Linked DNA regions of Elephas maximus indicus. The protein of the gene in region 2 interacts with the protein of the main gene of each other region in a pairwise test. Links are inferred from orthologs where the notes say so. Each region holds a gene or a part of one and is shown on either strand. Other genes may lie near its edges. The genes, in order: SIRT6, VIM and YAE1.

What was found.
Region 1: the proteins of VIM (region 2) and SIRT6 interact in a two-hybrid assay, tested with the Homo sapiens proteins (2 studies listed by BioGRID and IntAct). The link is inferred for Elephas maximus indicus from reciprocal best matches to the Homo sapiens genes VIM and SIRT6.
Region 3: the proteins of VIM (region 2) and YAE1 interact in a two-hybrid assay, tested with the Homo sapiens proteins (2 studies listed by BioGRID and IntAct). The link is inferred for Elephas maximus indicus from reciprocal best matches to the Homo sapiens genes VIM and YAE1.

Annotation. Positions count from the first base shown.
Region 1 is NC_064821.1:7,230,843-7,234,589, forward strand, and holds the start of SIRT6 (NAD-dependent protein deacylase sirtuin-6), read right to left. Parts: upstream 2,606-3,747; 5' UTR 2,567-2,605; coding exon 2,501-2,566; intron 1,008-2,500; coding exon 880-1,007; intron 1-879. UniProt on the Homo sapiens protein: NAD-dependent protein deacetylase, deacylase and mono-ADP-ribosyltransferase that plays an essential role in DNA damage repair, telomere maintenance, metabolic homeostasis, inflammation, tumorigenesis and aging.
Region 2 is NC_064822.1:39,613,625-39,617,371, forward strand, and holds the start of VIM (vimentin), read right to left. Parts: upstream 2,717-3,747; 5' UTR 2,561-2,716; coding exon 1,998-2,560; intron 1,361-1,997; coding exon 1,300-1,360; intron 1-1,299. UniProt on the Homo sapiens protein: Vimentins are class-III intermediate filaments found in various non-epithelial cells, especially mesenchymal cells. Vimentin is attached to the nucleus, endoplasmic reticulum, and mitochondria, either laterally or terminally.
Region 3 is NC_064826.1:101,776,626-101,780,372, reverse strand, and holds the start of YAE1 (protein YAE1 homolog), read right to left. Parts: upstream 2,526-3,747; 5' UTR 2,478-2,525; coding exon 2,349-2,477; intron 952-2,348; coding exon 830-951; intron 1-829. UniProt on the Homo sapiens protein: The complex LTO1:YAE1 functions as a target specific adapter that probably recruits apo-ABCE1 to the cytosolic iron-sulfur protein assembly (CIA) complex machinery. May be required for biogenesis of the large ribosomal subunit and initiation of translation.

The DNA.
Region 1 (3,747 bases), on a different chromosome or scaffold from region 2:
GGTTAGGCCACTTGTCCGAGGTTACCCAGTAACACCAGGTGCTATGAGAAAATACCTGCAAGCGTGTGTAGATAATTGTTCCCTGATGTCAATTCTCCCCCATCTTCTATGACAATAAAACCAGTTGCCTTTGAGTTGACTGTAACCCATGGTGACCCCATGTGTGTCAGAGGAGAACTGTGTTCCATAGGGCTTTTTTAAAAATAATATTTTATTGTGTTTTCACAGCAGTTTAGGCTCCCATTTAAGTTTCTGTACGAGTTGTCCATAGGGTTTTCAGTGGCTGATTTTTCAGTAGATTGCCAGGCCTTTCTTCCAAGGCACCTCTGGGTGGAGTTGAACTGCAAACCTTTCAGTTAGCAGCTGAGCACAGTAACTGTAGGCGCCACCCAAAGATTCCTCTATGGTAACATTGTTGGGTGCCATCAAGTTGATTCCAACTCATAGTGACCCTAGATGACAACAGGACTTCCCCATAGGGTTTTCTTGGCTGTAATCTTTAGAGGAGCAGGTCACCAAGTCTTTTCTCCCCCAGAGCCTCTGGTGGGTTCAAATCAGGACCTTTCCTCTGGTTAGCAGCCGAGTGCTGGCCCCCACATGGGTGGCTAAAGACTACATTTCCCAGCATTCCTTGCGGCTAATGTTAGGTGGCCAAGATCCGGCCAATGAAGTATAAGTGGAATGTTGGGCCTGACTTAAAGGGTAAGTCCGAAAGGGAGAGGGCAACCTCTCAACACCCTGCCAACATCCCAGGGACAGATGGCCCAGGACCCAGGAAGGGGACAATCAGTGGGATGGGTCCAGGTGCCCAGGCATCTATGAGCTGACAGGGAAGCCCGTGGCGGGCCCTGCCTCAACCTCCCCTCTCCGAACACAGACCTGAAGTCGGGGATACCGGAGGAGGTGCTGATGCCGGCGCCTGTGTGGAAGACCACATTGGAGGCCTCCCAGAGCAGCTGGGCCAGCGCCCACACCTTCCGCTCCAGCTCCTCTGGGGGGTCGAAGATCTGTTGGGAGAGAATGGGAGGGTGGGGTCGGAACGCGCCCTACAAGCATGGAGACCAAGAGCCACAGATGGACTGACGTGCTATGCTCAGGGGGAGGAGACAGGGTTGGAAAGCACAGCTTGTCTTGGCGTCCCTCCTCTGCCTGTAGCCCACCATGGCTCCCACCTTATTCCGTAAAAGTCCTCCCTGCCCTGTCCCCGCCCTGCCCTCCCCTCCTCCTCGGCTCTCCCCTTCACTCATCCCGCTCCAGCCACAAGGGCCAACTCACCAGGCACGGTCCTGCCTCAGGGTCTTTGCCCAGGCTGTTCCCTCTGCCTGGAGTGCTCTTCCCTCAGATCATCACGCCAACCACTCCCTCACCTCCTTGAGGTGTTGGCTCAAATGTCATCTCAATGAGGCCTCCCTGGTTACCCAGTTTCAATGCCGCCTTTCCCTCCACCCCCAGCTCTCCCAGATTAATTTTTCTCCATAGCTCTTAGCACCACCTGACTTATTACGTTCATTTGTTTCTTGTCGGTGTCCCCCAGTAGAATGAGAGGGTTTTGTCTGTCCTGTGTCCTACAAAGTGCTTAGTACACAGTTGCCATCAAGTCGACTCCAACTTAGGGTGACCCATGTGTATCAGTGTAAAACTGTGCCCCCACAGGGTTTTCGATGGCTTATTTTTTGGAAGTAGGTCACCAGACCTTTCTTCCGAGGTGCCTCTGGGTGGACTCGAACCTTTAATCTTTTGGGAGCAGCTGAGCATGTTCACAGTTTGCACCACCCAGGGACTTCTGGTACACAGTAGGTGCACAATAAATGTTTGTGGAATAAGATGAATAATGGAAGGGATTCACACCATCTGAGAGTTTATTAAACGTATGATTAGAAAAGAATGGGCCAGCCTTTATGAGATGGGAACCATGTTGTCCTTCAGCTTACAGAAGGGGAGATGGAAGCCCATAAGGGAAGAGACCCGCCTAAGGTCCCTCAGTAGGTGGTGGGCACAGACTGTTACTCCATTTCCTCCCAGAGTGGCTGGAGGGATCTTTCGGACCCTCCTCAATCTGTCCCGGTCGGTACCTCCCCAGCTCAAAACCCTTCCCCATCACACTTCCCAGCCTGCCATTTGAGGCCCGTCCTGGCCGGCCTCTGAAGATCTCTTTGCCCTACTCTGTTCTCCAAGTGTGTTTATCCCACATTCCTGCCTTCGCCCTGGCTATTCCCTCCCCCTGGAACTACGTGCCCTCCGCCTAGAACTGCGTGCCCTCCTCCACCACCAGCCTTCAGGCCTTCCCCGACCTCAGTCCCAGCCTGGCCCACCCAGAGCTGGGCGTGTTCGTGTCCCCGGGCGCGCAGGGGTCGTCACTTCCCGCCCCCTCCTCACTGGGAAGTCCCTCCCATTGTCTAACCTCAGTGCCTCCTGATACTCCCACAATGCCCCGCTGCTGGCCAGCCCCTCCCAGCCCGCGACCCTGGGGGCGCACTTCGGGGCCCCAGGCCGCGCTCACCTCGGGGAGGCCGCATTTGCCCTTGTCAGCATACGGCGACAGCCCCGCCGCGTAATTCACCGACATCCTCGCTCATCCAACGGGAACAATAAAGTTTCCCTTGTTGAGGCCGCTTCCGCCGGAAATGGGGCGGGCGGGGCGGAAGGAGGGGCAGCGCTCTTTTTCTACGGGCCCGGCGTCTTCCTCCAAGGCGCATGCGCGTGTTCGTGAGGCTGCAGGCGCCATCTTAACTGCTGGCAGAAGGAATTCCCGGTTCCCTGTCCAAACTCGCAGGGGTGGTTAAGGGGCTGCGAAGATTGGGGCGGCAGCTCACGTGAGAGTTCTGCAGTTTCTTCTAGAATGAAGTGCATAAGCGATCAGTACCCCATTCCCTTGTTTTATAAATGAGTAAACTGATGTCCCTGTCACCCCCAGTAAGGACATAGCCAGGAGGGCAGGGACCCAGGACTCCTGCTTCTCTACACCAAGGATCTTTCTTCTGCACATTTCAGAAGTTTATAAAGTTACAAAACGCAGGGTAGGAGAGTGAAACTGCACAAGGTTGTTGAGGCTGGTGGCCTTGAGTACCATGTTGAGCACCTACTGTGTTCTGGGCAGACCCTGGAGAACAAAGAAGACACGATTCCCTACTCGTTGTTAGTGATGGACGCAAGCATCTGGCCAGTCAAAGGTGTCACAGTGTGGTTGAGGTGCTACGGGGAACGACGAGGGCACAGAGCAATGAAGGAGCTCGGAGGTGGCACTTCACCCAGCCTGGGGGCGTCCCGGGAGGGCTTCCTGGAAGGGGAATGACGTTGCAGCAAAGACCTCAAGAGTGAGTAGCGTGAGGTGGAGTGAGTGAGCCAGTTCGGGGTGACGTGGGGTTCAGAAAGTGGACTCCTGGCAGAGGACTCCTGACAAGTGCAAAGGCTGGGAAGACAGCAAGATCATGGCTGGTTCCAGAAACTGAAATCAGTCCAGTGATGATGGGAGGAGAGCATCTTCCCGCCAGAGCCCGTCGATCAACGGGCAGCCCCGCTGCCAGCCTGTCTCCTCCCTCAGCTCATCCCCGGCCCCCTGGGGCAGCTGCCTGCTCAGAGCTGATCAAGTGTCAGAGCTTAGTGCCCAGAGCGGCTGGTGTGAGCTCACAGCCCGGCTGGGAGTGGGCAACTGGAGCCGGCAGCCTGCACGGTGGCCTGGTGCTGGGGCACTGGAGCTGCAGGAGGTAGGAGAGGAAAGGGGTGAGAGAGGCCTGGGATGGAGGCTCC
Region 2 (3,747 bases):
TCTACAAAATGCTCTATGTGACACTCCACTGAAGAGAATGTGAGAAATTTTACTTATTCCCTAAAGAGGGGAACTTTTATATTAATATTACTTTATATTAACTCAGTACTCTGCAGACATTACAGGTATGGTCATAAATGCTCAATGACTACAATGAATACCACACATTGCTGTGCACTGAAATTAATTTGGCAAATGTATTTCAGTTTCAAAATATCATCCTAGGCTATTCATCTTAGAGTGCTTGTACAGCCAATTCCAGTAAGTGTTCAGGAGAATAAACTGTGCTGGGAAATCGTCTTGGTTTTAATTTTAAGCTAAAATTCCTTCCACTATAACATTGGAGAAAAAAAAAATCCTTTACTTAAAATTGTATTCATCAGCCTTAGGTTTCTTCTTTATTTTTGTGGGCAGTGCTAAAGAATATAAGAAGCCAATAACGGCCTTTCAAAATCTGATGTATGACTGTAGCTTTAAAAACTTTTCACATCACATACTTCACAAGCTGGGCCAGGTATTAGATAACGGAGATCACGATGTTAGCAAATACTTGTGTCCAATTAGAACTGCGCTTACATCATTACATATTCAATAAGAATGTAGCCTGTTGCAAAGCTTCTCTGGGAACACAAAGACTCCTATTATTTCCGTCCAAAGCCACCACATTTGCAGAATGTCTGTATCTACATTCCATAGTGAATCCCATAGAAACCATTAATAGCCTTCAGCCAAGAGGACAGATGGCTCCTTTTCACCCTTATTAGATCACAAAATAGTTGTGCATAGCGATACTTCCACCTAACTTTACCGCCACAATAGAACTGGCAAAGAAAGGAAACTTGTTGGCTTCATGCCAGTCAAACTAAGTTTCTCATCTTCCGACACCTTTTACTTTTTAAACTACAGGGCATAAATTGCGCTTTTTGTGGCCTTGTAAAAGTTGGCCAACTTTAGCAAGCCACAATCTAAATCAAACTGTAACTGTTCAAAATCACAATGTCAGTGCGTTCCCAAAAAAAAAAAAAAAAAGAAAGAAAGAAATGTCTTTATTTCCTTGAAAAAAATCTTGAAACAAAGTAAAAAGTTAAAGACTTTATTTATGTCCTAAAGAAAGGGTAAAGCCCTCAAAGGTTTTTAGCTGGAAAAGCTCCAATTTGTGGTCTTTCTACCACTAGGGGGCTGTATGCACAGACGTGAACTTCTGCACTCTTTGGACTTAAGTTCTAAGTAACTTTTAGAATCGCCAGTGGGTTGGTTGGGTGGTTCCGCTGCCGACGAAGGGGAAGGAAGTCTACAAACCTGTCTGAAAGATTGCAGGGTGCTCTCGGCTTCCTCTCTCTGCAGCATCTCCTCCTGCAACCTGAAACAGTTGCATATTAACCAAGGGGAACTGGGAAACCGCCAGGGGAGGGCGGCCGCACCCAACCACCACGTCGCTGCGCCACGAGACAACAGCCGCCTCTGCCGGCAGCCAGCGACTGCAGCCCTTGTAGAACTGCAGCCCTCGGCAAGTTTTAGCGGGACCTCGGCCGCAGCATGAAAAAGCAATCACAGTCGCCACTAGGACCTGCAAAGCAAACGCCACCACTCCCGCCCCAGAGGAGACGGCCATCCTTTGTCTCGCGTTCTCCACAGCTATCCTCTCCTCCCTCCTTCCGGCCCCATTACTGGCAGCCCGCCAGGAGGGGCCAGGAAACTTTCTTAAAAGTTTGGACGAACCACTCTCATCTTTATCAAGTGCCTTTAATTTCAAAGTGGGTTTTTTTTTTTTTTTTTAGTTTTATGAAATCCGTTGCCTGAAACGGAGCGTTCTTGGGCAATGAGTGCGTGCAAAGGGGAAATGCTAGCTGCAAGGTCTGAGTTTAGGAATCCCGTGCCGCCACCGCCCCAAGGGCGTGGCAGCCCCTCGGAGGGCGTCGTTCCCCTCCCCCTTCTTCCCGCGGCCCTGCCCGGACGTCGCCCCCCAACCCCCGTAAGTGGCCCGGGCTCCTCCTTACTTCTCCCGGAGACGCGTGATGTCCTCGGCCAGGTTGTCGCGCTCCACCTCCACGCGGGCCTTGTCGTTGGTGAGCTGATCCACCTGCCGACGCAGCTCCCGCATCTCCTCCTCGTACAGGTCTCCCAGGCGCGACTTACCCTGGCCTTTGAGCTGCTCGAGCTCGGCTAGCAGGATCTTGTTCTGCTGCTCCAGGAAACGCACCTTGTCGATGTAGTTGGCGAATCGGTCATTGAGCTCCTGCAGCTCCACCTTCTCGTTGGTACGGGTGTTCTTGAACTCAGTGTTGATGGCGTCGGCCAGCGAGAAGTCCACCGAGTCCTGCAGCAGTCGCACGCCGGGCACGCTGCTCCGCAGGCGCACAGCCGAGGAGCGCGTGGCGAACACGCCGCCCGGGGACGAGGTATAGAGGCTGCGACTGGTGCTGGGCCGCAGCGCGCTGCCCAGGCTGTAGGTGCGGGTGGACGTGGTCACGAAGCTCCGGTTGGAGCTGGGCCGGCTTGCGGTGCCGGGGCCGCCGAACATCCGGCGGTAGGAGGATGAGGACACGGACCTGGTGGACATGGCTGCGGAGGGTGGCGGTGGGCTGGGCGGCTGCAGCTGTGCGGACTGGCTCCGGGAGGAGAGGCGAGCAAGGGCGCGGTGGGTGTGCGGTGGGAGCACTCCTGCGTCTCTGGCGCGGGGACCCGGGAGCGAGAGTGGCAGAGGACGGGACCCTGCCAAGGGCGCTGTTTTTATAACCCGGCTAGGAAAGAGGGTCCCCTCCCACTGCCATCCAAGCCGCGAAGCGCGCCAGCCAATGGGGACCTGGCGAGAAGAGGGGGGAGTGGGCGGGGGTTTGGGGCGGGGGCGCCCTCAAGCCTTTCTCCTCCCGGCTCCTGGCAGCACCGGACTGGGCACGGTCCCGTTACTTGCTAAGTTTGGCTAGGACTTTGGGGGCTTTCCTCGTAATTGCCGGAGGTCTGCTCACCCCTGGGTGCCGAAAAAGGCGGGGGTCGCGCGGTGGTTGGGGAAGGCGCCCCGGGCTGGATAAGAAGGGTCCTGGGGACCACGCCAAAGGAACGTGGGAGGAGGCGCACTGGTGGGAGGGGTGCGCGGTGGGCGCTGGGACACAGGGCTGCGCAGACTGGGAGCCGGTGGGGGGAGAGACCCTCGGCTAAAGGAGCAGGAAGAGGGGGAGTAAAGGATCGAGCATATCCAGAGGCGGCGAGAAAGAAACAAAGAGCGCCTGAAATTGGAGCGTGGGGTGGGGTCGCGCGCAGCGGAGAACGCAGGACTTGGGCCTGTGGAGCCTCGCGCGCTGCCCGCTTCGAAAGGGGGGACAATTAGGACCCTCGTCTTTTTTCTTCGTCTTGTCTTGAGGGTACTGTGCAGGGACTTAACGGACTCCGTCCGGCTTCGGACGGCCGGGGCTGAGGCGGTGGCCGAGACAAGCCCAGGGAAGAGGGGCGGGGTCTGTGAGTCACTGAGGGTGACTCACTGCGCCCTGCTGGCCGGTAGAGGTTTAGGGGGCCTAGCAGTTCGAGGGAAACCGTTAGACGAGGTTGACTTAAGTCTCCGCGGGCCCCACGCTCAGTGTTTTGTTCTAAATCTTACCCCACTTAGAGCTCGGCGGTCGCTTTGATGTGTACGGTCCAGCCGTGGGGGAGCCAAGAGCACCCTTTATTTTTAAGAAGTCGCCAAATCGTGATTTTGTTCCAATGTGCGCACTTTTTAGAAGGAACTTTCCGCAGACCTTGGAGAGTCGCCAA
Region 3 (3,747 bases), on a different chromosome or scaffold from region 2:
TTACTGTGAAAATGTTTTAAAAAATGGAATCAACTGACAAAAGATTCAGCAATAACCTTTTTACACTTATAAAAGATTAACTTAACTTGATTTTACGATGAACACTTGATCATATTCCTACTGTAGTAGCCTTTATAAATTCTGATTTCTGACAGTTTATTTTCCAAAATCCTAAACACAATGAATTTTTCTTGTTTTGATAACTTTTATTTTCAACCTGTTATTAGTGCTTCTTTGGAGCATTGTGTTTTTCTCTACTGAGGATAGTATAAAAGGTACAAAACATCAAAGAGGACAAGTCTGTCATGCTCCTGACTCCCTGTGTCATTTGACAAAGCCTTGGCTCTGATATATGCCATTGTTGCTATGGTATCTTGACAGGTATTCAATTACCAGAACTAAAGTAAATGGAGCCATTTTCTCTCTACTGCCATCTATAATTTTCATCATGTACTTCTAGTCTAGAGGTCTGTCACACTGTGTTCTGCCACTATGCGCCAAGACTAAAAGCTTATTCAAAACCTATAGATATTTTACTTTAGACATAGGTTGGTAGTAGTTTGGGTGGCAAAAATATATACCCTCCTACCATTTCTTTGCCAGAAAGGACCACACCTGGCTCATATCTTAAAGTAGATGAACTGATGATGTTTTTGACTCTTTGAGGCAATATTATGCTCTGCAGCTATGCTCTGCAGCATTCTTTTATGAGTTTAACACCAGGAAAAGCAATTCCGTTTAAATACTTCATTTTTACATACTACTTTCATAAACATTCTTCAGAACTATTACAGTTAAAATGATTCAAAACTTAAATTTTTAAAAGTACCTTAATGTTCCTCTGAGTTGTCCGTAGTTTATAATGACTTCTGCACCCTCCTTATAACCTTGATTGAAGCCCTGTTGAAGAGCAATTGCTTTGCCAGCATCTACTCCATCTCTGTAACCTTCCTAAATATAAGGAGGAAATGAAGAACTGTAGCTGCAACTAGTACTACAGGTAGGTTTTTCTAGAAAGGCCCAGAACTAATTTAGGAAATTGATGAAATGGGCCTTTACATTACTTAACATAATGGTTCCATAACATATGGCATAGCCACACAACCAAAGCAGCCTGTGCTTCCCATAGAAGTTTATTATTGGCTAATCTTTCTGGGGAGCCCTGGTGGCACAGTGGTTAAGCACTCAACTGCTAACTGAAAGGTTCAAACCCACCAGCTGCTCCAAAGGAGAAAGATATGGCAGTCTGCTTTTGTAAAGATTTACAGATTTGGAACCCTATGGGGGCAGTTCTACCCTTTCCTAGAGGGTCACCAGGAGTCAGAAACGACTGGATGGCAGCGGGTTTGGCTTTTGGTAATCTTTCTTTATCCCACTTTTGAAGTCTGGACTCACAGGGAAAATTTTAAAATACTGCTTCTTACACGGAGAATTACACATATGGCCCCTTGGCAGCAGCTCGGGTTGGTGGGTGAAGAAGCAGGGCAGTAAATGGGGTTGGGGAGGGTACCGAATAATTAAGTGAAGCAGGGAAAAAGAAGGGGAAGCTGGTTTCGGAAAACAAAGATGACACATCTGGTTCTAGAAATTCTGCTTCATATCTACATTCCAATAAACTGCAAACTTTTCGTGGGCATTTTCCACTAGTGCCATAGCAGTCAAACAAGGCTCAATATTTACTGCTTTAGCCTCAGCTTTACATAAACTATTTTTGCAATTGACAATATTGTTGCTGAGGTAAGCGAATATTACTTTACTGAAACACTACACAAGAGAGCAGACTTCCAACTGCAGCTTTAGGGACAATTTAATGGGGCAGTTCTACTCCGTCCTAAAGGGTCGCTATGAGTCGGAATCAACTCAACGGCAACGGGTTTGGTTTGGAATTACCCATTGACAATCCGTGGCCTTTACATTAAGTTCACCTTTTCCACAAAGTCTTGATTGACAGCACTCCTAATTTTAGGCTTCACACCCACCCAAGCACCCAAGTAAACTGTGCACATGCCCTTGACAGCAATAATTAGTACAGTCTGTTTACGTTTCTTTCCCACTTCATTCTCTGTAATCCTCATCAAACTGCAATCTCTTCAAAGTCTGGACAGTTTATTTTGGTCCGTCCCCAGCGTCAAACGCACCTTGTGGTCTGACACGCTTTCAAGAAACCCTTTGGGAAAGTCTAGCAAGATGCCGGCCGTGTTAGGTGGCAACGGGTAGGGAGGGCAGCGCCGGGCCAGGCTGGGGCCACTCTGCCTTCTACTCTCCGGACCAGTAATTCCACCATCCTCGCTCCCTCTCCCGGCAACCCGTCATCCCAGGAAACCCCCGCGTCCTACACCCAGCTTTACTTGGACTCGTCTGTGCATGTGGTTCCGCCATTCTCGCTGCACCAGAAGCGACTCGTCCGCCTCCTCATCAAACACATCCCCCTCGTCTCCAGGGCATCCGACCAAGCCAGCAGCTTGAACCCACGACATCACCGAGGCAACCAGGGGTCGCTCGGTACCGGAAGCACCGCAACTCCTTCCGGTCCGAGGGGGCGGGGCCCAGACGGCGAGTTGGGCTTTGGGCTGCGCGTGCGCGGCGGAGGTGTTCGGGTGTCTCGGCTGTGCGACCTTGTCTTATCTCTTCGTCGTGTATTGGAGCACCCTCAATTGACACAAAGGGTGGGTGCGTGGCGGTTGTGGGCAAGGCGGATTCCTTCCTTGCGAGGCCCGTGCGACCTTGGCGTCTGCGGAAGGCAGCCCCGGCTGTCAGTGAACATTCCCACCGTCGTCTCTACGGTGCCCTGAGTTTTCGAAGACGCGCGCATTGGTTAAAAACCTGCTAGGTAGTTAAATTGATTGGCAATTTAGCCAAAGACTCCGTTTAGAACCCCCCCACAGTGTGTTCGAATGGTTTTACAGCCCGGCATTTTTAACTGTTAGGAGCTTGGAGCAAAGAAGAATTAAATGGAAAAATTAGGTACAGCGACCGACTTGAGGCTAATAAGAGATATAAGGAGTATATTTGTAAAACGAATACATTTCTCACTGATTCACAGGGCCCTTCACTGGCTCCTGTTCTTCATCCACAAAGGAAACTGGGTGGCTTCGGGAAGCCAGGGACCAGTTTTATTAGCCTCGGCACACAGCACGGTGGTTCCCGCGCATAGTAGGTGTTCAAATAGACGTTTGTGAATGAATGGACACAGTAGCCTTCCGTTTTTTGTCCTTTGTGTAAGTGAAATGAGTCATGTGATAATGATTTATTTATCGACATATATTTCTGGAACACCCACTTTCTGCCCGGAACTGTTCTACGTTTTTGGGATATATTAATGAACAATATAGGCAAACGTTCCCAGCCTTCGTGGCCTTTTTATATTCATGTAGAATTGACGGATGATAAATAAGCAATATGAAAATAAGTTATATAGCTTGTTAGAAGATGATAAATGCTATGAAAAAAATTAAAAACAAGCAAAGTAACGGGAACCATGGGTGTGTGTGAGTGGGGCGCTGGTGATGCAAGTTACAACTTATGCAGAGAAAATTTTGCATCCCACAAATAAAGAATATTTATGTTTTTCTTGATATGTCCATGGAATACGTTTAAAAAACATTGTGTGCTCCCCCCTCCCCATAACCGAATAAAAAGAATAGTGATCTTACAGGTCAGACTCTCTGATCATAATCCAATAAAACTAATAATAAAAAATAAAAATGACCCCCAATAATTTTAACTATACTACCGGATATTAGAAAC